4 linked regions of the Diceros bicornis minor genome follow. The protein of the gene in region 3 purifies or fractionates together with the protein of the main gene of each other region. This does not show direct contact. Links are inferred from orthologs where the notes say so. Each region holds a gene or a part of one and is shown on either strand. Other genes may lie near its edges. The genes, in order: CDK5RAP2, VAPA, PRKACA and A-kinase anchor protein 2.

Evidence for each region.
Region 1: the proteins of PRKACA (region 3) and CDK5RAP2 purify together in Homo sapiens (affinity purification with mass spectrometry; 6 studies listed by BioGRID and IntAct, with this or other methods). This does not show direct contact. The link is inferred for Diceros bicornis minor from reciprocal best matches to the Homo sapiens genes PRKACA and CDK5RAP2.
Region 2: the proteins of PRKACA (region 3) and VAPA purify together in Homo sapiens (affinity purification with mass spectrometry; 4 studies listed by BioGRID and IntAct, with this or other methods). This does not show direct contact. The link is inferred for Diceros bicornis minor from reciprocal best matches to the Homo sapiens genes PRKACA and VAPA.
Region 4: the proteins of PRKACA (region 3) and A-kinase anchor protein 2 purify together in Homo sapiens (affinity purification with mass spectrometry; 5 studies listed by BioGRID and IntAct, with this or other methods). This does not show direct contact. The link is inferred for Diceros bicornis minor from reciprocal best matches to the Homo sapiens genes PRKACA and PALM2AKAP2.

The regions. Positions count from the first base shown.
Region 1 is NC_080767.1:27,771,792-27,779,695, forward strand, and holds the start of CDK5RAP2 (CDK5 regulatory subunit-associated protein 2), read right to left. Parts: upstream 3,012-7,904; 5' UTR 2,864-3,011; coding exon 2,808-2,863; intron 1-2,807. UniProt on the Homo sapiens protein: Potential regulator of CDK5 activity via its interaction with CDK5R1. Negative regulator of centriole disengagement (licensing) which maintains centriole engagement and cohesion. Involved in regulation of mitotic spindle orientation.
Region 2 is NC_080755.1:7,892,378-7,900,094, reverse strand, and holds the start of VAPA (vesicle-associated membrane protein-associated protein A), read right to left. Parts: upstream 3,002-7,717; 5' UTR 2,784-3,001; coding exon 2,705-2,783; intron 1-2,704. UniProt on the Homo sapiens protein: Endoplasmic reticulum (ER)-anchored protein that mediates the formation of contact sites between the ER and endosomes via interaction with FFAT motif-containing proteins such as STARD3 or WDR44.
Region 3 is NC_080769.1:3,624,099-3,631,637, reverse strand, and holds the start of PRKACA (cAMP-dependent protein kinase catalytic subunit alpha), read right to left. Parts: upstream 3,016-7,539; 5' UTR 2,908-3,015; coding exon 2,862-2,907; intron 1-2,861. Other genes in the region: histone chaperone ASF1B, read right to left, coding at 5,919-6,107, 6,461-6,637.
Region 4 is NC_080767.1:18,858,280-18,865,840, forward strand, and holds the start of A-kinase anchor protein 2, read left to right. Parts: upstream 1-4,549; 5' UTR 4,550-4,671; intron 4,672-7,561. UniProt on the Homo sapiens protein: Binds to regulatory subunit (RII) of protein kinase A. May be involved in establishing polarity in signaling systems or in integrating PKA-RII isoforms with downstream effectors to capture, amplify and focus diffuse, trans-cellular signals carried by cAMP.

The sequences.
Region 1 (7,904 bases), on a different chromosome or scaffold from region 3:
CATAAAATCCTCCCAGAATCCTCTCAGATTGGCTCAGAAAACTAGTCGGAAAGCAGGCCAAGGTACTGAGAGCCAGGCTCTGTAATCAGTAGGCCTGGATTTAAATCCTGGCTCGATCAAATAATTTTCATGAGATCCCAGACTGTTCACTTCACCTCTATGAGCCTCAGTGTGTCCTCACCTGTAGAAAGGGGATAATATTGTCACCTCAAAGGATCGTTGTTTATTCGGTGATTTAACAAATAGTTACTGAGCCCTATTGTAAGCCAGATACCAGGTTAGGAACTAGGGTACCAAAGAAGATCAAAATGCAGCCCCTGCTCTCAAATGGGTCGTCGTCTAAAGTGGGACACAGACAAGTTAACGATGCATTGTCCAATCCAGGAGCCACCAGCCCACGTACCCACTGAGCACCTGAAATGTGGTTAATCCAAACTGAGAAGTGCTGTAGGTATAAAATACACACCAGACCCCAAAGACTTCGTAAGATTAAGGAGAATGTAAATATCTCATTAATAATTTCTGTTGTTTTTTACAAGTTAGAATGATAATCTATGGAAATATTTGGTTAAATAAAATATATTAAAATTAATTTCACCTGTTTTTACTTTTTAATGTGGCTACTAGAAATTTTTAAATTACATATGTGGTTCAAGTTATATATCTACTGGACAGTGCTAGTGTCAATAAAATCCAGGGCTGAGACAGGGTCAGTGATAAATGGGATGACTAGAAGACTACAGACGGCCCAGGTGGGGTGAGGGAATGTCAGCGAAGGCTTCCAGGCAGTGCCACCTAAATTGAGACCTGAAAAATAACAGGCATTAATAAGGCAAAGGGAGAAGGGAGGGCAATCCAGGCAGCAGAAACATGAGTGCCAGGGCCCCACAATATGAAAGAATAAGGCAAGATCGTTCATTACAAAGAGTCTGGCAGCCAAGCAGAGTGAAGGGCTTGGGGAGGAGACAAGGAAGGGCAGAGGAGGCTAGTGAAGTAGATGGGGCCAGAGTATGAAGGACCTTGGAAGCCGTATTAAAGAACTTCACCCTGAGGGTGGCGAGTGGCCAGGGAGGGTCTGAAGGAGGTGAGTAAAAGATTAGTTACCAGGAATGTATGCAGCACCTGGGTCCTGCAAAGGCAGAGAGAGGAGGGTAGGCAGAATATGTGATGATCTGTGGAGTTGCTACTCTGGGCCAGACACCGGGCTAAACTCTTTTAGACTCACTCATTTTACAGATGATTTTGAGGCTCACAGAGGGTGAGTGACTTGCCCAAGGCCACAGTGTTAAATGGCAGAATCGGGATTGAAACCCAGCTAGGTCTGGGTCCCAAAGCCCCAGTGCTTGGCCAACCGGCACCAAGATGAGAAAAGCTGCCTGAGAGAACGACAGTGGACTTTTATCTTAATGGCAAAGAGCAGCATTACACATATAAAGCAGCAGACTGTGACAACCAGATTTACATTTTAAAAAGAGTTTTCAAGCTATAGTATAAAAGACTATTAGGGGTGTGAGGGAAGCCAGGACAATCAAGGTGAGAGGTCATACCCCAATATATCGGGGCATCGTAGTGAGATGAAGAGAAAGAGACATGATGAACTAACACAGGTCCAATTTAGGCAGGAGCTGCAAAGGGCCTTGCTCTGTGCCTGATACACAGTAGATACACAATAAACAGACTAACCACTTGTCCAGATAGGACTTGTTTACGCCTGCCATCCAGGCATGAATATTAATTGTGCTCATTTCACTCTTACAAGTGTATCGGTTTGCACAACAAATACATGGTCATCCTTTTAATTAGCGTCTGTTGACTGAAAGAAGCAGCCCGTCTCTAGCACAGCTGGATAAACACTGCAGATTCTCAGTTAAGGCTTTCCTCCATGTCCTTCTGAGCACTCAACCGGGAGCCAGGACAACAAAGGGCCCCAGCCCTGGGGCAGTGCAGGGCTCTGTCAGGCCTTCCTACCAGAAGAGACCCCTGCCCCACCAGCAATGTGGACTCCAAATGCCTCTTGGGACAGGTCCATTGGGAGGCCACTCTCAGCCATTATTCCCCAATTTGTATTACTATTGATGATGATGATGGCAACACAGAATCATTTTTTTAAGCACTGACTACGTGCCAGGCATTACACTTGCCAAGTGAATTGCTGGGCAGGCATCTTCTCTTCTAATCCTCATCCCACCTCTGTTGGGTGGATACTACTACTAGCTCCATTTTACAGATGGGAAAGCAGGGTAAGAGACTTTAAGGTCACAGAGCTAGTTAGTTTCAAGGGCTGGATTTAAATCCAATTCTGTTCAACTCCAGCCAAGGTTCTTAACCACTGCACTCCACTGCCTGAGTTTTGGTGGCCACTATGTGACCCCATAAGCAAAGTCTAGACAGACCAACTACACTCCCCATAATGAATGCAAACCCCCAAACCAGAATAAACCATCAAGTACCCTCCAGGTCCCCGCCCCTCAACCAGATCCCACCGATGGCACACTGCAAAAGGCCCCCCTCCTCCCGCTCGTTCAGACAACCCCTTACCTGTCCCTCACACCCTCTTCAAAGTATGTCCCGAAATACGAGAAAGGTGGGTGTGGTGCAGGTCCGGACCCTCAGCCCCCTACACTCAGTATCAGCTGGTGGGTCCCGAAAGAGACGCCTCGCCCCCAGAAACCCACCCCACACACTGTCCCTGTCCGGAAACCCTCAAACACCTTCGAGAGCAGACCCCAAGTCTCCGTTGGAGCGAACCCCTCGATCAGCGGGAACCCGGGCCCGGTTACCGCGAACCCCCAAAGCCCGGGCCGCACCTGCAGCCGCTGAGCGTTCCGGGGAGGGTGACGTCCTCTTCCAACACTGAGTCCATCCTGGACACGGAGGAGGTGGTGGCGTTGGTGTCTATGGCGGCGGCAGCACTAGTTCCCCCACGATGTAGCGACCCGCCTGGCTCCCCAGGTCCCGCCCCCTCCAACCCAGCTCTTGTTCGGACTGTGGCGGCACCGCTGGAATTCAAACCGCAGCCGCCGCCATCTTTCCCGGCGCTTCTTCCTACGGAAACGGGGCGGGGTCACCGCGGCGCGCGCGGTGAAGCCGGCCGGCCGAGGCCAGAAGCCGGGCAGGGAAGCGCGGGCGGGCGCCATCTTAACTAAGGGCAGAGCATCCGACCTGGGGCCCGCAACACTAAGGAAAGAGAGCCCGGCTGCCATTTTTTGTGAGGGCACTGAGGCCGGGGCCAGGGCAGACGCCATCTTTGTTGAGGGCCAAGGCAGGCCTTGGTCCGTTAATTTAAGCGGGAGATGGGAATCCAGGCCCTCATGGACCTTCAGAGTTCTTATCCTGGTGTATGCTTTCCTAGAATAATGACCCAAACCTTAGGGTCTGTGCATTCAAAAGGCTTCCACTTTGAGTTGAACCTCAGATAATCGGGTGCTGCCTCGCTTTAGAAAAATCTTACCTGCAGAATCCCAGCTCAAGCAGTAATTTGCACACTTAGCTTGAAACGAATAAATTCATCCCTATGAGCCAAGTGGTCACCGACACTCCCTCTCCAATCTCTCACCTAGTGATCCTTTATTACCTTTAAAGCTCAGACGCACCTGAGATCAGTAAACTGAGGCCCAGAGAGAGGAAATGACTCTCCCAAAGTCATGCACAGTAAGTCTGTGGACTGGAGCCAGATCCCCGGCTCCTGCCAACCACATCAGGGCTCTCTGCATAACCCTGACTGCCTTTCTTAAAGCACAAAGCAATCACCAACACCTAGATAATTTTGGCAGCTTGGCCAATGAAATGAACCTTCATCTCCCCATCTCAGTGTTACTACCTTCCTCTGCAGGCTGTCCGGAGAGTTCTGGATGAAAATAACTTGAAAAAATGGGTGATTGGGTAGATGATGACTTTCCTTGTAACCACGTACAACACCTCCCTCATCCTCAGTTTCCTCATTCTTCAATTTAAGTGTTACTTTCCAAAAGAAGCCTTCTCTAATCTTCTAATCTAAATCAGACCCTTTCTTGTATTCTTAGCAACCTGTATTTTTCCTTTGTGGCACTTACCACATTTTGCAATTATATATTTTTGTGTTTTTTTTAATGTCTCCTCTTGCACTAGACTGGAAGCTCCATGAGGGCAGAGACTGTGTTCTGAATTGTTTACTGCTATATTCCTAACACCTAGCACTGTGCCTGCCACCCAATCAGTGTTTAAAAATATACGTTGAGGGGCCAGCCTCGTGGTGTAGTGGTTAAGGTCAGGCGCTCCGCTTCGGTGCCTGGAGGTTTGCTGGTCTGGATCCCAGGCACAGACCTACGCACTGCTCATCAAGCCATGCTTAGGCAATGTCCCATGCAGAAGAGCTACAACTCTACAACTATGATATACAACTATGTACTGGGGCTTTGGGGAGAAAAACAGAAAAAGAGAAAGATTGGCAACAGATGTTAGCACAGGGCCAATCTTCCTCAAAAAAAAAAATATATATATATATATATGTTGAATGAATGATTCAGTCAATCTGGAAAATGAAAAATAATACCTATCCTGCAAGGTTTCTGTGACAATGTGATATCTTTAGTAGCTCAGTCAATAGTCATCCCATATATCCTGTTCTCTCTCTCTCTGCTTCATTCTCTCTCTCTCTCTCAGCTTTGGTGAAGGCTACAAGGCTCTTGATCCTGTGCCCGTTCCTCTTCCTTCCCCGGATATTCAGTCACCTCCAGAATCAGCAATAAAATAACAGCCTGAAAGAGAGAGTGGGCAGGAAACAGTTGGCACACCAGATGCCCTGCCCCAGGGAAGGGCAGTCCTCGAAGCCCGGGAACCAACAGTCCTTGCCAGTGCTAAGTTCAACCAATGAGATGGGTGTGTCCAAAAGCAGGGAAGCTGGGGTGTCAGGATTCCAGCCCTGGTTCTGCCACTGACTCTGCAATCTTTGGCACACCACTCCTCTTCTCTGAGCCTCAGTTTCTACACCTATGAAATAAGAGGGTTGGGCTGGTTGGATGTCTCAGGACCTCACAGCTCTGGAGGTGATTTCTTTGTGTTTATTTCAAGGTTATTAATGCACGACCAACCATTTTCTGGTGAGGGAGACTGAGTTACAAATCGTTACTTCCCAAATGAAGGAACTAACTTTTCATCCAGCACGTGAAAGCTCTTCAGAAAGGAAATAAGGAGGAGGACTTACACATTTTGGGCATCTCTTATGTGCCACTTGTGCCAGGCATATCACATACACCACCACATTTAACCCTAACAACAACCCTCGGGAGTAGGTGCTACTGTTCTCCCCATTTTACTTACAGATGAGAAGACTGAGGCTGAAAGAGGTGAAAATAACATGCTCAAGGTTTCACTGTTGGTAAGTGGCAGAGCTGGGATTTGAGCCTAGGTCCCACCGAACTCAAACACTCTAATTGTTTTAGGCAGCCTGTCTTCTCTATCTGTTTGGTTTCCTCCACTTTAGAATTCAGGGTCAAGAGGTGAGGTCTACATCCAGACAACAGTATTTCAGGGATGTGTTCACCAGACTCTACTCCTTGGACAACTGCTTCAAGGTGGCCATGAGGTGAATGTTAGTGTGGAGAGTAGGACTGCAGGATGGGAAGTCTGGGCACCTGGATTCTGACTCTGGAAAATCTTCCATCTTATCCTGTGACCTGAGGTCCCTTCCCCTCGCTCCTCCTTGGTTTTCCCATGTGTGAAATGGGACAGACAATGCTGAGCTCACACAGTTGCATTATCTAATTAGATACTTTGGAAACTGTAAAGAAGAAAGAGCCTTGGAGGAGTTCTGCTTATGATTAATCCATTGCCTGATTCAGCAAATGACCACGTTCCAGAATTGTGTGCTAACCCTTTAATGAACCTAGAAACTTAAAATAGAATCAGTTGCACAAAGGATAGGCTATTTGGGAAGTTGTTTTTCCTGTTTTCATGGTCAAGGATGAAGGCCTTTGCCCCGTCTCTGTCTCGCCATGGCCTTTCTTTCTGCCAAGCCTGGAAGTGACGTCACTACTACCAGCTGTTTGGGCTATCTGGCACCATCTCCTTGACAACAGCCACCCAGTCACAAAGCTGGCATTATTATTCCTTGGGTAAGGTCATCTCAAATGGCTGGGAGGAAGTAGCTTGCAGCCAGATGTTTCTCATGAGGGTAGAACCCTCCTGAAGTTTTAGCAGCTCAAGACACATGAGCTGCCATTATTAACAGCAAGAATAACTTACAGGATCAATACAGATACATTGCTACTTTGCACTATTTCATTTTATCCTCACTACACTCTGAAGTAGATTAGGATGATTGCCCTGCTCTACAGATGAAGAAACTAAGGTTCAGAGAGGGGAAGAGATTTGCCAAAGGCCACACTGTCTTCCTTTCTTTCCTCACTTTTCATTTAGAAATAATTCAGACAGAAAAAAATTGCAAAAATAATGCAAAGAATTCCCCATATAGCCTTCACCCAGCTTGCTAAAATAGTAACATCTTACATAACCATAGCACAATTGTCAAAAATAAGAAATTATATTACAATAGTACTTACTACAGACCTTCTTGAAACCTAATCATTTTTCCCATTAATGCCCTTTTTTCAGCCCAGGATCCAATCTGAGATTCCACGTTGCATTTAGTTGTTATGTCTTCTTACTCCCCTTCAATCTGCGACAGCTCCTTTGTCTATGTCTTTCATGACATTAACACTTTCTAAAAGTTCTTGCCAGTTATTTGATAGACTGTTCCTCAATTTGGGTTCATGTGCTGTTTGCTCATGATTAAATTGAGGTTATGCACTTGAGCAAGAATACCACAAAACTGATGTTGTGCCCTTCTCAGGGTATCAGGAGGAAGATGATGTTAATATGTCTCATTAATTAGTGATGTTAACTCTGATCTCTTGGCTAAGGTGGAGTCTGCCAAGATTCTCCATGGTAAAATTACTTTTTTTTTTTTTTTTTGTGAGAAAGATCAGCCCTGAGCTAACATCCATGCCAATCCTCCTCTTTTTGCTGAGGAAGACTGGCCCTGGGCTAACATCTGTGCCTATCTTCCTCCACCTTATATGGGACGCCGCCACAGCATTGCCTGACAAGCATTGCATCGGTGCGCGCCCGGGATCCAAACCCTGGGCCGCCAGCAGCAGAGCGCATGCACTTAACCGCTAAGCCACAGGGCCTGCCCCCCAAAATTACTGCTTTTTTATGATTAAAAAGAGTCTTGGGCAGCGATACTTAAGACTATGTAAATATCCTTTTTGTCATCAAATTTTCGCCCACTGATTTTAGCACCCATTAATAATTCTTACGCAAAACAATTATTACTGTGGTATTTGCCAATTGGTGATTTCCTATTTTCATCATTTCATCTATATTTATTAACTGGAATTCTACTATAAGGAAGAACTTTCTCTTCTTGCCCATTTCTTCCATTGTTTATTTAAATCAGCATGGATTTGTGGATATTTGCTTTATTTTATGAGTTATAACCTATCACTATCATTATTTACTTTGTTACACACATTATCCTAGATTTGGCCAAGCTGCCCATCTAATACATAGATGTGCCAAGATTCAAACCCGAGTCTGTCTGATCCCAAGGTCAGCAGTATTTCTAGCACATCCCTTGTGCTACCCTGCCCCTTTCTCTCAAGAACTCTTCCCAGCCAGCCTTCGCTATCAGCAGCCCTTGTCCAATTCCCAGTTAGTACCCACTGTCTGCTCCATAGCATGCTGTGTTACCAAGCTAGTGATGCCTTCTAGGCCCAACATCTAGCTCCGGGCTGTGCCCATAGTAGGTGCTCAATGACAGTTTGTCAAATTAACTCCAAGTCCTGACATCTTCTCAAGGTGGGAAGAGGAATGAGAAATACTCCACACCAAGGAAACAGGATGTAGATGATTGAGCTAGAGAG
Region 2 (7,717 bases), on a different chromosome or scaffold from region 3:
TAACAGGCTTTTACTTAAACTAAAAATTACAGGTGATTTAGGGGAAGTCAGAATTAAATGACTTTTTACACCACCATCAAACTAAGCATAAGGAGATTGTTGATTCTATATGAGTCTCCTCATTTTAGTGTTGAACTGTGCACTGGAATACAGAAAGGTTTCCATCAAAGCAAACTATCTTGAACTAAAAGAATAACATTAAGGAGGAAGGAAGCAAATGACTCCAAATGTCACCTCCTAACTCATCCTACCCCTCCTCTTTTCCAGTCCTCCCCATTACCCCACCTTTAAATAGAAGTACACAGCAACCCACTGGGTATTTAAGGAGAAACCATACATTCTCTCACATCAGTGGTTACTAAGTACACAACCACTCCCTGGCCAAACCCTCTCCCCTCCCCAACTGAAAAGGAGCCTCTTCCCAGAAAGCTTCCTAAAGTAAAGGGGAGGGGGTTGGCAGGAGGAATGAGGAGGAAAAGGACTCTTTCCTTATACTCGGTTTGCCTCTGTTATAGCATCTAGATGCCTTTTCTGTCTCCCTCACTAGTCTCGGAGTTCTTCAAGGGCAAAGATAAAACCTAACACATTTTACTCCTGTTTAATTGTATGCTTTCCCCATTAAATCACAAATTGTGAATCTTTTCTCCACCTTGTTTACCACTGAATCCCAATATAAGCTGATACCTGTTGAATGAATTATTCATTGCTGAATACTCTTCATCAAATATAGGGATGGCACAAAGCTAAAGTATTCGCTAAATAAATGGCCCAAGTGAATGTGTCCCCCTAGGAACTTTTCAACGAAACACTTTTTTAAAGTCAATTTAAAAAGGTGGTCATTGATGTCCAAACTTTTAAAAATGTGCCTTGTGAATTACTTTCACCCATAATACAAGAACCTATTCTATAATCATAGTTAATTTTTCAATACCTAAAATAGGTGAAATATATGGATATGTCATTGGGTAGGGTTTTGGGTTGTTTTTTTAACCTGCTTCTCCGCTATTATTAGTCTTTTACTACAGCAACATTACAACTTCTCTAGGGAGAAAGCTTCAAACTCTGTGGACATTTCCTGGCCTAAAACTGGTTTTAAAGGCTTCTAAGTCCCAGATAATGGTTATCCAGTAGTGGAAATTTCCTCTGTAAAACAGCCTGTCAAAAAGTAAAAGCAAAGTACTTAAATTCTCAAAAGAACACATATACCATAAAGGTTTACATTAAATTCCTCAAACCTAAGATAATAGCTAAGTTAGGTAATTTCATGATTCCCCAAAGGTGTATTTTTTTCTTTCAGCTAAAATTATGTAAAATCATGCCACACACATAAACTTGCCACACTAAAATGCTCTTAATGCCTCTCAAACTATTTCTTAGGGTTGTCTTAAAACTAAATCCTTACCTAACAAACAGCTCATTTACAATGCCACTCAAAGAAATCTGCAAATGCAGTAAAAAGCTTTCAAAATAAAGGAGCTATAAAATACACTCATAATACCAGAAAATACTATTTTAAAATTTCTAAAACTATTACCTTTTCCTATGGAAAACAATCTAAGTGTTTTTCTTTTGGATTCAGTCTTGTACAACAATAAAGGATTTATTTTGTTTTAAGCACTGGAATGGCTACACAGTTCACAAAGTGTTCTCATCATAGCTACCCAAATTGAAATACAAGATACTGAATCTTCCAAACGGCGACTCACTTTATGCTTAACTGAAGACACGGAGAAATCTGCTTTCTATTTAGGATCTTCACGCACTTTAAGTATTCGTAAACAGAAACCTGCTCAGTTTAACTCTCTTGCCTAAACTACCCTACATACCGAAAACAAATGGGCCAAACAGCCCCTTAGATTCCTCAAGGCTCACCAAGTCAGACTATTAATTTACCACGGGCATTGCTACAAAGTAAATCGACGGCGTCCCAGAGCTGAGTGACAACTATCAGCCTTCTCCGGGGCTTATTGGGAAACCTCAAACGTAAAGGCAGAAATCACCAACAGTGAAGATTCCGCAGCAAAAAAGCAAAGCGACAAGGGGCGAAACAAGGGTCGACGAATAGCAGCTCTGGCCTAGGCGGAAAGTGAGCTGAACTGTGCCATCAGAGGCCCAGGAAGCCGTCTACTAGTGACCTACCACAAACCCTCGGCTGCCGCGAGCTGCCCCGCCGCACGCGGGTCTCTGCCCGCACGCCCGGCTAGGCCAGAACCGGAGGACCTCCCGGCTCCCCGCCTCCCGCGCTCACGGACCCGACAGCCAAGTTAGCAACTGGAGAAAAGGTGGGAGCAGCGCTCTGCGCGGGCGGGGGCCGGAGGGCCCTCTCTCGGAACCGAGTCCGGGACGGCGAACCACGGCACTCGCGCCCCCCCGAGCCCCTCCCCGCCGAGCAGAGCGCCAGGCCTCGGTCACCGCCCACCACGCCCGCCGGGACGCCGCCCGCCGCCCGGGCCAAGGACAAGCGCCGGCGCGGGCAGCGCGGCAGCACCGGGAGGCGCCCGCGGGCCCGCAAGATGGCGGCGGCGGGCTGGGCCCCCGGCTCCCCGGGCACCGAGGCGGCACCGGGCGGCACCGAGGGAGGGAGGGGGGAAGCGGGCCGGGCCCGGGGACGCCGCCGCGAGCCGAGGTGCGGGCGTGGGGGAGGGGCCGCGGCCCGGCGCCGAGCTCCCGCACGCTCCCCCGGGGCTGCCCTCTGCCTGCCTACCTTTGAATTTGAGGTCTGTGGGCGGGTCGAGGACCAGGATCTGCTCGTGCTTCGCCATGGCCCCGGAGGCGGACGCCATTGGAGACAGCGCAGAGCGGGGGCGCGCCCGCGGCGGCGGTTTGGGCTGGGGGTGGGGGACAGCGGCGCCGGCTCGGCCGAGGTCTGCGAGGGGCCAGCTCACGGCTCCCGAACCCTGACGCCCGCCGCTCTCTCGCGGGGCGCCGGGCCGCCCGCTGGGTCCGCAGCTCCGGGTCTCACAACTGACTCAACCCCACACCAGCCGCCGCGGCCACGCGCACTGCGATCCTCGGCGCCCCACGTGACGGCCTCTGCGTGCCTACGTGCGCGCCCCGGCGCCGGGGCCGCTTGCGCTCGGCCCGCCCAGCGTGGCGCGGGCTGGTGCGCCTGCGCGCTTTCGGCCTGGCCGCCGCTCGGAGCGCGGCGCAGCTGTCAAGGGATCGGGTGGGGACAGGGGAGGGACTGAGCTCCGTGGGGCCCACGCGGTGCGCGCTTCGTGGCAGGAGGGCGCAATCCTCGGTCACGTTTAGATTGGATTAGGAAACTGGAGAACCCGCTATGGGCAGTGCATTACGATCTTCCGAGCGGGAATGCCTGATAGAAGGAAGGCGTGGCTGGGCTCCTTCACTACAACTCCCAGCATGCTCCGTGCGCGCCCGGCCCGTGTGCGGCCCTGCGCGATGGCTGCCGGGAGCGGTGTTAGTGGCTGTCGGCGGGCGGGAAGGCGGACGGGTCCGTGGGAGCGAATGGGATCTGCGCCAGGCGAATGGGGTGGGCGCGCCGACACTCCCTTGGGCGCTCAGAGCGTCTCTTCTGCGCTAAAAAAGAAAAACAAAAAGTTTCGGAGACTGACCCGAGGTCCCTGGTTAGAAATATAAAATATACCCTGTGGAAAACATGCCAGGATTTGTCAGTTTGCTCTCCAATTCTATCCATCCCTCTGATGGTGGAGCTAAATTCTCCGTCGTATTCCAGTCCAACCTCGCCTGCTTCCTGAATCTCTCCAGTGATGCAAAAGCACATGAGGAAACACCTTGTTTAAGAAGCAGATGCGTCGTTGGGGAAATCTGACAAGACACGTATCAAGCTAGAAATAAAAATCAAAATCTACAGCCTTCAGTTGCTAGGGTCTATTCTTCAGTTTTGATTAAGAATAGACCCAAACCAAAACAGTTGTCACATTCACATGTTGAAAATGGGTTCCATCTGCATCATTTACGGTAGCCTGTAGTAAACTGAACCAAATGAGAAAAATCCCATGAGCAAAGTTGCTGACAAATCTGTAACCGATTGCCAGGGTAATCAGGGACAGAAAGATCAAATAACACGAGTGAATGTGCTGTAAATAAACCTTTATAGCACTCCTTGAATTTATATCCCTAGGAAGCACCACAAAACAAAGGACATATTGATGCTGCTGCGACGAATAAGCAGCCCAGTTTGTCGAGAAAATAAATGAAACAAATGGAACAATAGTCTAGGTTTAGGCACAAAGTCCAAGTTTTCATGTGCAATGCAGGTTCAGAGCCCATCTGGGTATAGCTCTTCGGAATAGCTAACGTAGCATTCACAGAAGATTGTGCTAGGCAAGAGCAGTGTATCTTCAGCCATGAAAACCTTGGAGGATGGGAGTGCTTAAACAGTCTGAAAAGCGTGTTCTAAATTTACCATTCCTTTGATTTCTTTTTATTCACAAAATTTATTTTGAAAATTCAATGATCAATAAAAGGAGAATGCAAAAATTGCATGTTTGTCAAGAGGGGGCTTAAGGTTAAAAAAAATTTTTTCTTGCAGGGGCAGCCCAGTGGCATGGTTAAACTCACAATGCTCGGCTTCTGTGGCTCAGGTTCCAGACGTTGGGATCCCAGGAGCAGACCTACACCACTGGCCAGCCATGCTGTGGAGATGTCCCACATACAAAATAGAGAAAGATGGGCACAGATGCTAGCCCGGGGCCAATCTTCCTCAGCAAAAAAAAAAAAAAAAAAAAATTTGAGGTTGACAATCACTCCACAGGATGGTGTCCCACATATGTTTAGTTGTGAACTGACAACCCTAGAGCGGTCACAAACTCCAGGTTTTTTTGCTTGCCTAAGAGCTCTTATCCACGGGCAAGTTTGCCTTGGCTGAACTGTCTCCTCCACAGCTAGATGGACACTTCTCTTACCAGAAAGCATTTGGCAGTCCCCAGTGTGCAAACAGCCAGTTAGTGGTATAGCATGCTGAGGAAGTTCCCAGTCACTCCCCTATGGGACAATGGCTGCCCATTCACCATGAGTTCAATGGGAAGCCTGAACTGGATGTAGAATTCCAGTTTCCCAGTCTGTATCATTGAGAAACCTCTGCCCATTTGAGTCATCACCTTTGGAATCAAATTTTTGTCTTCTCAATATTGCTTTGAAAATTATATAGATATAGGCTTAAAATCTGTAAGATTTTAAATATCTGGTAGTCTAAGAATACACAAAACATCTTTCGAATAATGCCCCTATTACAATTTTAAAGTGTTGCCTTAATAATGACTCAGAGTCCTCCTGACTCCTCTACTCCCCATTGAATAGTGGACTATTTAAGTGGTTTGTGCTTTGGTACTTATTAATACCTTTCTTCTAGCAGTTCAAAGAACTTTACAAACATCATCACATGCTACTCAGAACAACCTTATAACAGTTAGCAAGTGTTACTTTTGTTGTTAAATATGGAAATGAAAACACAGGTGAAAGCATGTCATGTCAGTAATAGAGCTAAATGTGGTGGAGAGGAGTTGCCCAATTTTCCGTTCTTTGCATTTTTGCTCTTCCCAAAACTACAATAAAATGATAACTGAAAGTGATTAAGGCAGCTATTTAAAATGTAATTGACTTATCTATGCTTAACATTTAAGCTAGGAATGGAGAAACGTGGGACCTAATGTTCACTGTTTACTCTTTTCACATTGATTAATGCAGCACATAAAGGTCTCTTAAGCTATTAGCAAAAAATATATACTTAACCATATTTCTCCAGCTACCAAGTTTTCATGAGTCTAAGAGGTATGAAGGCCTTGAATATTACTTTAACCTACTTGAATAACTAACAGTATTCATCTTTGGACAGGTTATCTCTAATGGGTTTGGCAAGGATCAAAAAAAAATTTGCCAGTACAAATGGCAACAAAGTATAACCATCTCCTCCATAGTTAAACATATTAACTACAGAGGTGCTCTGTATGTAATTATGAATTTGTTTATGATCAATTCTCTGCATAATTCAATTCAGTAAACATTTAAATGAGCATACTTTTATTAAATATTGAGGCAGTAAAGCATATTGAGTAAGAGTATAGGCTTTGGATCTGAACCATTGGATTCATGTCCCATTTTCCACTGTGTGGTCTTAGCATCTTACTTTACCTCTCCGTGTCTATCTGTAAATTGGGGAGAATAATTGTATGTACCTCTAAAGTTTGTTCTGAGAATTAAATGAGAATACACACAAAGAGTTTAGAATGGTGACTGGTTCTAGTACTATTACCTTATTAACGTTAAATGTTAAATTATCGCTGTGCACCCGGCACTGTGGTAGGTGATGTAGTGGTGAGACAATAGACGTGGTCTCTGCCTTTAGAGACTTACATTCAAGTAGGAAAAACAAACGTGAAATAGCTCCTTTGCAGCTATGATTCTGCTCTTGAAATAAGTTTGACCAGTGAGTTACACTCATGTGATATTGGAAAGTTAGAAGTGAGTTGGAAGGCAGCTTTCTGCCCCTTCTGGCTGTTTTTCTGCTGAGGCAAGAGCACAGAGACGTGAGGCTTTCTGCAGCAGCGTTCCAGCGCCCATTGACTAGCTTCCTGGATATCAAGAGGCAGGGAATTGTTGCAGGGTCAGCAGAAGCAGTGGCTTTTTCTTGAGTCCAGCTTCCTGATCCCTAGGGTTAGAAGTAAAGTGCGGCCTCGGAGGCAGCAGCTGCTGGGTGGAGCAGTTCAGTCTTGCCCTGGGAGTCCCTTCCTGGAGAGCCAAGTCTCGAGTCTGCTCCTCTACCTCTCCTCAAAATTTTATAAACACCTAATCCCCTTTATTATGTTGCTTCCTGCTCGTGATATTAGAATGCTGCAGAGAGTGAGGTGTCAGGAAAGCTAAGAGTGGATCAAGAAGGTCAATGGTGTAGACATCTATAAGGCAAGGACTGGAAACCATTCACCTGACAGAGTAACAGGGTGCTAGGGGTAAAACGTGGATGAAACAGGGTCACTGCACACAAAGAGCTCTTCCTAACACAGATAGCTATGAGAGAGAGGGATAATCAAGTGAAATATGTATTGGGTCAGGAAGTATCACAGGGATGCAATGCTTGGTAAATGTGGATGTGTTGCTGGTGCTTACTGTAGAGCATTTGTCAGACTATGTAAGAAATATAGATTCCAGGAGAAGGCAGAGGGAAGCTTCACCAGATAAAGTCAAGGCTGGAAGAAGAAGAGTTAGAAAAAAGACTTATCCTGGGGATTTTTGTCCGTATGACCGTTTAAAGCAGTTAAAACTATAAATAATCTTTGTGGGCCGGTCCCGCGGCTTAGCGGTTAAGTGCGCGCGCTCTGCTACTGGCAGCCCGGCTTCGGATCCTGGGCGCGCACCGACGCACTGCTTCTCCGGCCATGCTGAGGCCTCGTCCCACATGCAGCAACTAGAAGGATGTGCAACTACGACATACAACTACCTACTGGGGCTTTGGGGGAAAAGATAAATAAATAAATAAAATTATAAAAAATAATAATAATCTTTGTTTATGAAAAATAATTTGAAGTGTTTTCTCTTCTATTAAGCTTTTATATCGTAAAATTAATATGTGCTTATTGTAACCAGTGACACAATCCAAAGGCCTGTGAATAAAAAGTTTCCTCCTATGCCTCACAATTTCCACTCCACTTAGAGTAACCAGTGTTAACTGGCTATGTTGTGTATCACTCCCCAACTTTATCCATACTTGTAAGAACATAGGTAGTTGTTTTTTGGGTTT
Region 3 (7,539 bases):
CCTGTCCCAGGGGCCTCTCGGGGCCACTGCCCTCTGTCAATTCCTCCAGTTTGCTCAGAGCCCGGGCTTGGTCTTTTTTTCTCTACCCTCTTAGCATCTTACCCGGGCCCCTGCCAATGGCTTTGGCATCTTTGGGTACAGATTTCCCCCTTCTCAACCCCAGCGCTTGTTCTAGATCCCCACCCTCTCAGGAGGGGGCCGACGCTGTCCTGCCCTGGCTCCGAGACGGCAGCACAGGGGGCTGCAGAATGCCTAACTGGTGCCTAGTAAGGCTTGGGCATTTTCCTTACCCCAGTAGGGCTGGCGTCTGGGAGATGAAATTCAGGTGCCCCCTGCAGGCTGGCCTAGCTACTGCCCGTGCCCCCAGCCCGGCCCCAGTTCCGAGGGCAAATTTTGTAACTCCATCCTTAGAAAATCAGCGCTTTGAAGCAAAGAAGGGCTTCCTTCCTCATCCTATTTCCTCCTCTGAGAGCCCCTGCAAGACTCTGGAAGGAAGTACAGTTTAGGGCATTTCCCGAAGGGTGATATGGGTCCCACTGGCAAGGCAGGAAATGATTTTAGGTATGTTTAATTTTTCTAGTTACGTTGTATTTTAATGTGTATCAGAAAAAATATAGCGGGCACAGCAAGCTCATGATTTCATTTATATTACTGCTTAGGACAGATCAAAGTTTACATCTGGACAAAAGTGAGTCAAAGTTTTCATTTTAAATTAAGAAAACATAAGTGAGTAAAGTAAAAATCAGGGAGGAGGTGGCTTGAGAATGTCTGGGCTGGGAAATTCTGGGGTCCAGGAAGTTGGCTGGTGGGCAGATCTGGATGTGAATCCTGCCTCTGTGACATCATCTATGTCAAACTCAGCTCGTTTGGAAAATTCTGGTAACAGGCCGTTATGGAAATCACTGGAGCAGACAGATCTATGGAGCCCATTTAGCCTGGCACATCCTAGATAAATGGGCTCTATTGCATCGTGATGCTCCATTCCTGGGTGTCCGGCCTGCGCTCTGAGAGAATTAGCGGTTCCTTCCAGAGCCTCTGATCTTTTTCTTGGGGATCCTTTTCCCTGTGCGGCTTTCCACCCCCCCGACCACATGTGTCTGATACGCCTTGAAAGTTTTCCAGAACTATGTCATCTCCCCAACTTTCAACTGAGCCACTGCAATATACAGCTGCCTGCCTCTACCTTCCACCTCCCAGCCGGCCTCACCTGCTGGGGGCCCAGCCCCTCCCCCCAGCCTAGTCCCCTCCAAGCTCATGCTGAGACCTTTTTTGGTCACTACCCACCTGCTCCTCTGTCATCAAGCACTCAGCTACAGGCACTGGCCTCCCCGGCCCCCGCCTATCGGTGACATATCAGGCCTCCCCATGCCTGCCTGGCGACTCTGAGGTTTGCCATTTGAATCTGTATGGGAATAAAGTCCCCTGGCTTTCATGCCCAGGTCTTTCTGGGAGGGAGCATTCAGGACACTCAGATCCTGGGGTCTGAGACCAGCAACTGGGAAGAGAGTTTTTGGACGTGGCTTCCTTGCTGGCTCTGACTTTCTGAGTAACGGGAAGGGGATCCTAGCTTAGGTCCAGCTTTAGGCCTGGCGTGATGACAATTTAAGAGCTGGAGGAACTGAGGAAGGGGCTCCAGGCCATTTCTGAAGGCATTTCCAGACACAGAATCTCTTTCTCTGGCTGGCTGGAAAAGGCCAACATAATTTGGGGGCTGAGGCGGAAACAGGCCTCTCTCTGGCTGAGCTCTGGGAGTGATCAGAATCTATCTGTCCCCTGGCAAAGCAACCCATTAGATGTCACCCACTGCTGTCCCCGACTGCCACCCCAAGTCCCCCGGTTCACCATCCCAGCTCAAGCTGAATAAGTCTGGCAAAACACACTCTTCATCTCCCACTTTTCATCCCGGACGAGGAGCGGCTGAAGAAGCCCGGGGGACTGGGTGAATGACGGAGCCTCAGTTGTGAAACAACCATGTACTGAGGGGCCTCCAAGGATCCTAGAGCTCACTGCACAGCAGGAGATGGGAAGGGGCTCTGCTGCCGCCCCCCACCCCACTCCAGCAAGGAGGACGCAATGAATCCCAGCAAGATCGGCTCAAACTTGGCTTTGGAAGAACTGATGCGGTTCTCTACGTTCATAAACAGTCTGCTACCCCAGCCAGGGACAGACGCTTGCTTGGAGAAGGGAGCACAAGCAGAGAAGCAGAGTGACAGGATGAGAGAGGGGCAGAGGGACCCAGAAAGATCCTGTCCCCCATGCCAAGTGACACAGAAGAGAAAAACAATACTGGAGGTGGCTCTGGGAAATGCTCAAGGGGGGCAGAGTGGGTCTGGAGGGGGGCTGTGGTAAGGTGAAGAGGGGAAGGGCAGGAGAAAGATGGCGGGGGCTGGAGGGGGGAGGGGTGTGGTCACCAAGTGGCCAAGGTCCCTGTGGGGTGGAGGCAGACCCCACAGCACTCCCAGACTGGTAGATGTCTGGGTCGGGGTCTGGCAGTGGGTCCCATCTGTGGGAAAAGTGAGGAAGTGGGGGTTAGAATCTGGGGAGAGGGGCCAGGAAAGGAGAGGGTGGGGTGGTGACAGGCTCCCATGCGAGGCCCCAGCGGTCATACGTGCCATGGTTGGCAGTGACAGCTGGGTGGGGGGGCACAGTCTTTGCAGTGGGGGGCGGCCTTCGGCAAAGGGGCTCCTACGGGAGTCTTCTGGGGGCCCTGGGCCCCAATCTTGGACAGGCAGGAGGAAGGAGCGCTGGGGGGTAAGCGGAGAGAGATGGGGGGGCGCGTGGGGGGAGGGGCCAGGCGGTGATGGACAGGGTGGGGGCTGGCAGCGCGGGGCCAGGATCGGGGTCACGGCCCGGGTACTCACCGCTCTCCTGCTCGCTGCCCTTCTTGGCGGCGGCGGCGTTGCCCATCGCGGCGGCGGCGGCCGGGACCGGTCCCGGAGCTGCGGCGCGGCGGGTGCTGGCGGCGGCCGGCGGCCCCGGAGCGCGCTGGGCGGCAGCGGCGGCGGCGGCCGCTCGCGTTGGCTGCGCTGGCTGCGGCGCCGCGACCCCCGCCCAGCCCCTGCTGCCCGCGTCCCTCCGCGCCCGCCCGCCCGGGAACCTCAGCCCAAGTCCGCTGCTGCTGTCCGTGACGCCCCCGCAGCCCGCCGATCATTGGTCCAGGCCGCCCTGACTGACGGCGCCGCGCCCCCGCCCATTGGCTCTCCGCGACCCTCCCGCGCCGCCATAGGCTCTCGGTCCCATGACGCGCGCCGCGGACGCCCGGCCACTCGCGCGCTCGCGAGGCCTCAGCTGGGCGGGCCGACGCGCCTGATTGGCTGAGGTGCCCGACAGGACCCAGGGCCCGCCCAGCGAGGCCGCCAATTGGCGGAGGCGCCCAGTCCGGCAAGCCCCTGGCAGAACGTTCAGTGTCAATCCCGGGGTGAGAGGGCGGGGCGGACGCGCAGCCTGCTGCCCAGGCCGCGGGCGGGGCGGCCGAGGCTGGCTGGCGGGCGGCCGCGCGGCGCTCCGAGGCCGAGTGGGCGGTCCCGGCGGGCGCCCGCCCCGTGCGCGCCGCAGTCCCCCGCCCCCGCCCAGTGCGGCAGCGGCCGCCGGCCAGCCAAGGTTGGCGCCGCGGCCCCCCCACCCCCCGGCGCAGCCACTGTCCACCTGCCAGCGGGGGAGGGGCGCGGCCGGCGCCGCGGGTCAGAGGTCGCCGGGCCGTCGGCCGTCGTCATTGATAAGGCCTGGCGCAGGAGGGCAGCGGCAGGCCCGGGGTTCAGGCTGGGGTTGGGGGTGGTTCCTGGGGCTCCCCCAGCCGCAGCCCGAGCTTCAGGAGGATGCTGGGCCCCGGGAGCAAGGGGGCTTGGGAGGGGGCGCTCAGTGTCCCTCCCTGTGCTGGGCGCCCACCCTGGGCTCAGGCCAGCAGTAAGAGCTGGCGCTCGTTTGGTAATTCGCACCACACTCCTGTCCCGCAGGTACTGGTATCATCACTCCTGTTTTACAGATGAAGAACGTGGGGCTCAGTCAGGCTGAGGATACTCTCCATCCGCGCAAAGCAGAGGGAACTACCTCCCCCCCAAGCAGAGACGTAGCAAGATGCCCCTTCCTTCAGGATACCCTGTTAATACACACACAGCCTGAGGACGTCGGCTCCACCGCCGCACTACTGACATTTGCGGCCGGATCAGTCTTTGCTGGGGGGCTGTCTTGTGCATTGTAGGGTGTTGAGCAGCATCCGGTCCCTCTACCCACTCAACCCCTGTAGAACCTCCCTCTCGTCCACCAGGCACCAGTTGTGACAACTCAAACCATCTCAAGACATAGTTTAAGGTGCCCTGGGGGCAAAACTGCCCTCAGTAGAGAACCACTGAAGTAGACAAGGGCCCAAACAGGAGGTGCTGAGAGGGGCAGGGGACGGGATGAGCCAGCTCTCCCTGACTCGGAGGGGCTATCCGGGCTCAGCTCTGCAAGCTGATTCCCTGCTCTGCCTATAGACTTACAACCCGAACCCTTCCCAGAAGCTGTCCGAACCCACCTTCCTAGGCTCGCCAGTCTCAGGGAGGGAAGAGTGGGGCTCCTCTGTAAATTATGGGGAAATGGGTCACCAGCCAAACCACTCCCACTTGGGCTGTGGGGTTACAAAGGTGAAGTAAAACGTAATAAGAGTGTTGCTGTCTGTCCTTGGAGCACAGATGTTAATTCCCTCCTGGGGGTCAAGGTCAAAGTCTGGAAAGTCACGGGTTATGCTCTATCTACAGAACAGCTGGGTTGCTTAGGTTTTGACAAAGAAAAACCCCACCCCGGAACCTCAGTCTGGAATACAACTATCCAACCAAGTAAGACTCGAGTAAGAAGCTGAGCTTGGGGATGGGGCAGTCAACTCACTGGCTGGGGCAGGAGGCCCCCGACGTCAGGAGGAGAGGTAGACAAGGCTGTCTCAGCCCACCCAAGACAGAAGCAGAAACAATCAGCCTAGATCAAATGCTTTTTATTTTTAGACCAACCAAACATATTTAATATAAAAACCCTTTAATGTACAAACTGCAACCACAACAACATCCACATAGCAGCAAGGGGGTGGGGCGCGGCAGGGAGCCTGGTGGGGGTGGGGGACTTCAGGGGCCCTGGTGCTTCCCCTGCCCGTAGTCACTCTGTGGCCTGTGGGGTCTTAGCAGAGGGCAGAGCAAGGCCCCCAAAGGGGCCCTGATGCTGACACTGAGACAGACCAGCAGAGAAGGCCCCTCTAACATGCCATCTCCCCACAGTGGCAGCCTCCAGGGAAAGCCAGATCCAGTTAGGAGGTAACAGGAAGGTAGCTGTCACTGAGAAAATCAGCCATCATTCCTCAGCATCTTGCTGATCACACTTTTGCGAACAGAGTTTTCCAGGGGCTGTTGGATTGACAAGACCTAAAAATTGTTCCAGGAGGACAGAAACTGTGTCCGAGTCTACCTTCAAACCACGATTCCTTGCCCGTGACTCCAGAAAGCTGGGTGTATTCTGCTTGGTAGTTTGGGAAGGGAGATGAATGACAGAGCCTTTGGCCCAACAGGGCCAGAGCCTTGCCAGGCATTGACCAAGGAAGCCTCAAAGCAGGCCAGGGAGGCCTGTGGGAAGAGCTCTGGGTCAATGGTACTCCCGGGCGCACGGGGGCACAATGACCCGCAGGTGGAACTGACAGTGCCTGTGGAAGAGGGAAGGGACAGTCAGAAAGAACTAAGAACTGAAGCACCTGTTTCTGCAGGCCTGGGCAGGAGAGGTGAGATGATCCTTCTGGGCCAGGGCTGGGAGACGTGAGGCCTGTTCCTTCCTCGGGGCCAAGTTTAACCGGCCTGGATGTAGCTGACGGCCCCCAAGTCTTCCACATGGCCCCCAGGGGACTCTCTGGGAGGCCCCGCTGCCCCTTCCAGATGTGCCAGGAGACTGGCCTAGATCCCCAGTTAGATGCAGTCCATGGAGTTCTCGGGGAGGAGGCCGGGGATGCAGCCAGGGAGACCCAAGCCCTTGACAGGAGTGCAGCTGAGGGGGAGGCCGCAGCCCAGGGTGGGGTCCTCCAGCCTGTCCGTGTTGTCCCAGTTGATGTGGAAGCGGGTCACCCGGGGGTTTGAGGCCAAGATGTTCCGCTGGAGCTGGGCGGAAAAAGGAACGTCAACCCTGGTCAGCATGCCCTCTCATCACTCCTGCGGAGCCAGGGCACCCCTGCCCCGCTCCCCCAGGACAAGCAGAGCTGGCTTATCCCACCACCACCACAGCTGTGTGTGCCACTCCCGGGGATGCCCACCCCACAGTCTAGGGCCACCTATCTAATCTTGATTCTGCAAGGTGTGCTTCTGAGAAACCAAGACCTTTCTCTCTCCCGTTCTAGCCTGGCGCTGCAAGATCTGAGCACTACTTGAAAGCCTTAAGAAGTGACCTTGGCTCCAAGTTTCAATGACTCAACCCCCAGCAGTGCAAAGGTGGTGCGGTGCAGAGCCGGTCCCACCTGAGAAAAGTCCGGCTTCGGGGGCGGGTTCTCCCGCAGCTCGGGGTTGGGGTACTCGTTGTTAACGTAGTAGCCCACGCGGATGAACTCCTGGCCATGGTAGGTGCAGGTGATGAGGACCACAGTCACCCCCACGGCGTCGGTCTCAGGGATGAGGGACGGGTTGGGGGCGTCGGCCTAGGGGAAACACATCCTGGGTCTTAGCATCCATCGCCGCAGTCACACCTCCTCAGCAATACAATGCTTCTCAAGCAACACATGTCCACTGAGCCCAAAGCATGGTCTCTGCCTTTGGGAGTTTTCCATCGAGTGGGGAAGACAGAATCAATTGTGTAAATGCCTGTGAAATGCTGAACGTGATGGGTGCCACACAGAAGTAAATGGGGCTGGGGAGGAGTGTAGTGAGCAAGGTGTAGTGAGGAGTGTAGTGAGTGTAGTGGGGAGGGTGGCATACGATGAGGCTGAACAGGTGGGCAGGTGGCACCAGGCCACCAAGGGCCTGGTGGGCCAGTTAAGGGCTGGGAGAGAAAAAGCAAGAACATTCAGCAAGAGGTGAGTGCTGCATCACTCAGACCGCAGTGGCCTGCGGAGCCGAGATGGGAGCAAGGGGGGACTGTGGCCTGGACCGGGCAGCAGAGGAGACAGAGGTGGCCAGATTCCAGGGTGTTGTCACGGACAGGACCGGCTATGGAACTGGTGCAAAATGAGACCCATACAAAATGAAAACATGGGCCCTGTGTTCAAAAAGTAGTCCACTTCCGTCAGCGACAGCAGAACATGACCCCACGCATGGGCCCTGTGTGACCGCGTGGACCCCATGCCCGGGGAGCTGCCCTGGTGGGGGAGTGGAGTAGACGGGCTGGCTGGTGGATGGGATACAGGGGGTGAAGAGTCAGCTGTGAGGACAAGGTTGCTTAGATTGGGCTGGGAGCAGCAGAGATACAGTGAGGGGGTGGATTTGAGCGGAGGCTCTCAAACTTTAGTGCACGCTAAGTCTGCATTTCTGACAGCCCCTGCGATGCTGGATGAGAGCGTCTTTTAGCAGCTATGGCAGATCCTCATTATTCAGGGATTCCATA
Region 4 (7,561 bases), on a different chromosome or scaffold from region 3:
ACTGGTTTGTTTTTTCTATTAGGTAGTTGGTAATTTTCTTATTGATTTGTAAGAACTCTTTGCATATTAGAGATAGTAACCCATTGTTATATATGTTGCCAATATTTCCCCCAGCTTGTTTCTTTTCTTAGATTTTCAGTGGGGACTCTGGTCCCATGGGGATGCCCTTGGGATTGGGAACTGTTCCTAATTTTCCAATGACCTCACTTAGTGCTTGGTGGGAAAGCCCCACAGATCTAGGGCTTTTGATTTGATGTGGGCTAGCCTTTTTTTTTTTTTTTTGTGAGGAAGATCAGCCCTGAGCTAACATGCATGCTAATCCTCCTCTTTTTGCTGAGGAAGACCGGCTCTGAGCTAACATCTATTGCCAATCCTCCTCCTTTTTTTCCCCAAAGCCCCAGTAGATAGTTGTATGTCATAGTTGCACATCCTTCTAGTTGCTGTATGTGGGACGCGGCCTCAGCATGGCCAGAGAAGCGGTGCTTCGGTGCGTGCCCGGGATCCAAACCCGGGCCACCAGTAGCGGAGCTCCCACTTAACCAGTAAGCCACGGGGCCGGCCCCAATGCAAATTTTATTTTGTTTATTTATTTTTTTGTGAGGAAGATCAGCCCTGAGCTAACATCCGTGCCCATCTTCTTCCACTTTATGGGGGACACCACCAAGCATGGCCTGACAAGCGGTGCATCGGTGTGCACCCGGGATCCGAACCTGGGCCGCCAGTAGCGGAGCGCGCACACTTAACCGCTATGCCACGGGGCCGGCCTGGGCTAGCCTTTTAGTGTTGATTTTGTTTGCTTTTCCCTCTTATTCTTTTTTTTTCCCTAGCAAACCTTTATTTTCTGTGGGACACATTTAGCGCTTGAGGATTACACCCCGCTGATGCTCTTTGGTCTTTCTCCTTGCTAGAAGGAGGCAATGGCAAATTCTCTTTTATGATGGGCCAATCTTGGCCCCTCCTTTGGGTTTTCAGATCAGCTCTCTGAGCCACTCATGGGTGTTTTTTTCAGCTTCTACTCTAAGCTTGGGGGCATGTGGCTACTGCTAAGCCATTAGTTGCTGGATTTGGTTCGTTTCGCTCAGTTTGGGGAGAGAGAAAGAAGAGGCTTTGTCAATCTGTTTCTAGGCTGACTCCTTTCCCAGAAACTTAACTTTCACTCTTGGTGTTTCTCTAGTAAGTACGTTCTATTTCTTAAGTGCCCCGGAGGCCACTCTTACTCAGGGGCATGGTTTAGAGTGGACCAGCAGCCCAGCAGAGGCCACAGGAGCAAAAATGTACACTTAGGCCATAGTGAAAGAGATTCTGATCTCCTCCCCTGCCAAGCAAAATTTCCGTAGAAGGTCCTGTGTCCTAGGTGGGGTAGGGCCTTTGGGAGCATTTACCATTTACACATCCTGGCTATGTTCTTGTTCACAAAATTAGTAGCCTTTTATTTGCTTCAAATGTGCTTCTGAAGTGCATCTAGGAGACTAAATGTGCTTCTTTCATAAAATATTCTCAGCTCTAATAACCATGATCATGTTAAGAGACATACGACGTGATGACCCCGTAAACATGCATTGGGTAAAGCCAGCCTTTCCCATCTCCTGTGTTTCTCACACTTCCATATTCTTAAGAATCACCTAGAGCTGTGAAAACAATTTCCCTAGCCCTGCCCCGAGAGATCCTGACTTAGTAGGTAAAAGTGGAGCAGGAATCTGCATTTTTAATAAGCACAGAGGTGGTTCTGACATCTATAGTCCTTAGTACTGGCTTTGAGTCCAGGGCAAGATAACTTGACCTCAGCACTACTGACATGTGGGACAAGATAATCCTTTGTTGCTGGAGGGTGTCCTGTACACTTTAGGATGTTTAGCAACATCTCTGGCCTATATCCATTAGATGCCAGTAACACCCCCTCCCATTATGACAATTAAAAAATTCTCCAGACATTGCCAAAATGTCCGAGGGGGGGCGGGGCGGAGGGGAGGACTGTCAAATCACCCTCGATTGAGAACTACTGACCTGAGGGAAAATAAATGAGAAAATGTTAATTAAAAACAGTTTTTACTTTCACATGCAGATGCTCATACTCCTGCATTGTTTTCATTGAACAAATTAAACAGGGGCTGGCCAGGTGGTATAGCTGTTAAGTTCCCGGGCTCTGCTTCGGCGGCCCAGGGTTTGCAGGTTCGGATCCTGGGCGGGGACGGACGCACTACTTGTCAAGCCATGCTGTGGCAGGAGTCCCACATATAAAGTAGAGGAGGATGGGCAGGGATGTTAGCCCAGGGCCAATCTTTCTCAGCAAAAAGAGGAGGATTGGCAACAGATGTTAGCTCAGGGCTGATCTTCCTCACAATAAATAAATAAATAAATAAATAAATATTTCTCAGCACCTGGTATGTACCAAGGCTTTTATATTAAAAATGTTTTCTTTAATCATAGCTATCTCTTTAATATCTTATAAGATGGAAGAAAGGGAAATGTTCTTGTAAATTAATATCTATTGAACACGCATTTTTCCTAAATTAATATTCTCGGTAGTTTTCTGTGGGGTAAACCAGAACTTTAAAATTAATATGACCAGAAAATTAATATTAACTAATTAATATTAAAATAATATTAAATTAATGTTAATATTTACATTGACATTGCTTTAGGAAAGAAGTAATTCAGAATTGTCAGTGTAAATTGCTGTGCTCTTTCTAATAATGAAATTTGATTTGTAAACTTTACACTTATTCTAATTTAGGAACATATGAAGAAAGAGGATGATGTACCTGCCATAACGTGATTTATAAAATCTCACCTTTGCCGTAATTTTAGAATCTTTCCTTGGAGAGACTATGGTCCATATAAATAAATGTGTGTACCCAGATGTGCTGATTTCAATGTGAGGTTTTCACATGATAGTAAAATGTTAAAAATAGATCATGATGTAGGGCACCCAAATATTTAACTCCTTAAGTCTGTCACATGAGAAGAAAGAAAGAGAGAGAGGGAGGGAGCGAGGGAGGGCGGGAAGAAGGAAGGAGGAAGGAAGGAAAACAGGAAAGGAATTGATTGAAATCTCCGGCCACTGGTCAGTAAATTCTATTGAAATTCAGGAGTGTGGGAGACAAACATACAAAAAAGCTGGTGAAACAGTTCCTAAATACCAAGAAAAAGAAGCCTATTGACATTCGGGAACCCTGAGGAGAACAGCTGATGTCTCTGTTGAAGCCTTTATCCCTGCCTTGAGTAAAGGTGTGACTAAATCTCAGGGTGGGAAAGAAGCCTTTTCTTGGCAGGGTACTATTTTTCATGTGTCACTAGCATGGACAGGCTTTCTGGGCAATTCCCGAAGATATTGTTTCTTCGTATTGGAAATCAAGGACTTTTGTGGATTAGGAAACAACCAGATCCTGGCAGTTGTCTTTCCCTGCTGCGTTTGGAATACAGAATTGACTCTCAGAAGAGGACCCAGGACCTTGGCCAGCGGTTCAGAATAAGGGACTCGGACGTGCAAAGCTGGAGAGAGAGAATCGCTGCGAAAAGGAAAACACTGATCATGCCTAGCGGAAAGTTGAATTCAAGAAATCTGACTTGTTATTTTCCTTTGCAGAGAAAGATTTTACTTGCTTAAACTGCTGTTTTCTGTGTGGGGTGCTTCTGTGTGTGTCCTCTCTCAGGATTTCTAGACAGTCCATTTTCGAAGGGTCATTAACATTATTTAAATATTCATGGTGGGGGAGGGAATTACAGACTGAAATTTCAGACAGCTGGGGAGTGAGGGATGGCTGGCCACCCGCGTAATCGAGGCCCACGCGGTGTATCCGCTGCCTCCTTCCCCACCGCTGGCTTTGTTAACACACGCGCTTTGACACCAGGCCAACGGCTGCTACAACGGAGAGGCTCTGAAGGCTCTGGCGAGCCAGTGAGCCGGAAGCATCCCTGTCCACACCTCAGCCTCTGGACTACATCAGGGTGGGGCACAAAACACACGGAGACCCCGTCCCTGTCACCAAGACGCACCTCCCAACCGCTCCCAGCGGTCCTACTTACCCCGGGACAGTCGTGATGCTGCGTAGGGGATGAGGGACTCACTCCCCCCTCGGGTAGGAATTCAGCAGCTCCTGGCGCTGTGAGCGCACACACGCATCCACACACTTCCACATACATTCATATGCACGTATGTATACACCAACACACACGTCCACATGCACGCACGCCGACACGCCCACCGTGCGCTAACACAATCCCACATACCCAGACACTAGAGCCCTCTCCCAGTTAGGAAATACTCGGCTTCACTTGCCCGGTGTCTTCAGCCCCCCAACCCCCCATCCCTCCATCCCTCCAGTCTATCCATTCATTTATTTCTTGGTTTCTTGGTTTGTGCATAGATTCCACCCAAACCACAGAGAGGTGTGGATGGTAGGGGAGGGATGTGGAAGCCGAGGGGCGGGCCGCGGGCGCTGGGCGCCAGGAGCGGGGCGGGGAAGGGGCGGACCCCGGGGGCGGGCGGGCGGCGCTCCCAGCCCTCCAGCGGGCCCGGCGGCCGCGGCGCTCGGCAGATGCGCTCGCCCCAGCCCGGGGCTGCCGCACGCTTCTCCCCGGAGTGTCTCGGACGCCCCAGGGAGGAGGCAGTGGCCGCGTCGCGCTGGAGCGGAGCCCGAGGACTGCTCCCACGAGGTCCGGCGCCTAGAGGTGGGTGTCCCAGGCTGGGGCGCGGCGGCCCCAAGCACCACGTCCTCGGGGCCCCCTCCTGGAGCTCAGGCCCCGGGCGTGGGGAAAGGGTGGCCTGGGAGGGACTCGAGATCTGGGGAGCCTTCGGAAGCAGCGCGGACTTTAAAGGGCTTTTATGGTCCTTGCCTAGCGGAGCGAGTGCGGCGAGGGGGCCTAGCTGGAAAGGGCTGTGGCCATGTGGCTCTGAATTCTTAGGTTTGGGGGAGGGCCAAGTCTTTGGCTGCTTTATTCAATACTTACTTATATACGCTTTAAAAAAAATAAACTTAGGAAACCCCCTGCAACACACACACACACACACACACACACACACACACACACACACACACAGAGCTGGGCTGTAGGAAAAGCAGTGGACATCAAACGGCCGTGGCCGCCTCTCCAGAACCGGAGCCGCGGTGGATGGAGCCACCAGTTCCAGCTCGCAAGGTAGGCGCGGGTCCTGCCTCCGTAGATGGCAGCGCTGGAGGCGTTTTGGAAGTCAGGAGCTTTGCAGGGAGACTGAGGCCGGGCAGGGCCGGGTCCCCGACCAGGCGGAGCCTTTTCGGACTGAGGTGCAGAGGTTGAACTCGGGAGATGGTGCAGGAGGAGGGAGCAGCCCCTTCTGCGCGGGGAGGGTGGGGGGTCCGGGTCCGAGTTGAGCCTGGAAATTTGGCCTGAGGCTGGGACCCCAGTTGTTAGGATTTGGCGTTTTACCCCGGGTAAAGCCAGAGGATACGTCTCTTTGGCTCCTTTGTGGGGACACTTTGGGGGGTCGAAGGGGCGGATCGTGGTGGTGAGCGCTGGGCAAACTGTGCCTGTAATCCCAGTGGAGATGGTGCGCCCGCTGGGATAGGAGCGACGAGATACTGGCGGCCCTGAGAAATTCTAGAGAAACGTAGTGGAGGCCAGGGGACTGAATCCGGAGTCCGTGAGAGCCGGGAGCCTGGGAGTCCGCGGAGGGAGGCGGGGCGGGCCGGGGACAGTGGCGCTAGGGGCCGGCTGAGAGCTGAAGGCAAAGGATGGCGCCTGCAGAGGGGAGCGAGACGGCGAGCTGGACCCGCATGAGCCGGCCGGGCAGCCGGGTTCCTGAGCGCCCCTGCACTGATGCGAGATGCCCGCCAGCCCTGGGGATCCCTCCCCAGTCCGCAAAAAGGGGGCGTCTGGGAGGGAGATGACTCGCTTAGAGAGACGGTGGATTCTCTCTCCAGACCCGGTAAAGTCAATTTCCCGCGTTGGGTGATAGTAGTTTGGCTCTGATATGCTGTGTGGTCAGACTTTGACAAATCTGTACCCTTCCCTATAGCAGTTTTAAGTGCAGAGCCATTAATTTGGACAAACTTCCTTTTTTTTCCCCCTCCTAAATGTATTTACCTTTGAAAAGAGACTAACACGCACGTACACACACGCACACACACACACCTCTATACATCTCTCTATAGAGTATATCTTTGAGTCTGCCAACACCTTAATTTCTCAGAGGAAGCGCCTTTCGGTCTTAACGCACGTTCACAGGCACCTGGAGGCCGAATCAGAACAAACCCACCACTCACGGTTGTAATCCCAGAGGATTTGTTCCCTTGGCTTTGTTCTAATTAAAGAGAGTTCACTTCAGCATGGCACTTTTCTTCCTGGAAATGTTCCCAATTTCATTAAACACTCTCTCTTTCTCCCAGTCTGGCAGCCTCCCCAACATTGATCAATAAAATTTCAGAGTAACATGTCTAGAAAGGAGGTCTATCCAGTAAGGAGTTTACTCTGTTTCTTTACACATAAAGCCTTTTAAGAATTAAAACTTGCCTTAAAGCACCTTCTACACGGCTGTCCACTGCCAGCTCTCTCCTCCCCAGTTTTGGCACAGGCTCTTTGCTTAAAGGGCATCTTCTCCTTTGAGTGGACATACCATGGGTCTTGTGGGCCCTACAGTTATTTTGAGCTGCACCGATAAGATTAGTCATAAGCCAGGAAAAACGAAAATAATCCTGCTTGGATCTCCCTGGCCCTTACCTAGCAGACGGTGCAGTTGTCTTGAGTCGTTTCTCTGGCAGTGGAGTTCATTTCAGTTTCTTTCTGGGGTGCTGAGGTGCTAGCACGAGATGGATGGCTGGGCTTTGAGATGGTACAAACAATTTGAAATACCCGTTATTTCATAGTTCTGGCATGACGGTTGGCACTGCTCCTGCCTGCAGAGTTTAGGGTAGTGTTGTCAGAATTTATTTCACTTTCATAAGTGGCTCATTCTGACTCATTAGCCTCAGGAACTCTGACTAATAAAGTGAAGCAGGTTGCCTTTACTTAGTTATCAAGTGAGGGGAAGATGATCCACTGGTTGTTCTCTTTCTCAAATTTTCAATATTTTAGTATAGAATTAATATATTAAATGTTACTTTTTAAAAATGCAAACGCTGGACTTTCTAGTTAATTTTTATAATTATTGTCTAGATACCATCCTTATAGATTTGGAGGACTCTTAAAGCACCCATGTCCCAGATTTCTACCACGGTTGTCGTTACAAGTCTCATTAAGTTGTCATTACTTATTAGGGTAATGAGAAATGTTTCAAATAAAGATGAAATTGAATTCGGATGGAGGTCGTGTTAAGGGATTTTAATAATTGAAACAGGAGCATTTGAAAATTTACTGCTGAAAACCAGGAAGTGGTCAGTTCCATCCTTTAATCTTACACATTTCTCAACACGAGTAGAATTGATCTATCTTGAATTAGCTTCTGGATTGGCTGTTCTTTGATCTTGAGAAACATAGGAGTCCCCATTTGCTTAGATTATTGATCAGGGATCCTGTGCCAGCCACTGGAAATTTGGAGTAATTGATTAATATACTTATCAGGTTCAACAATTTTGCTAGAAAATTG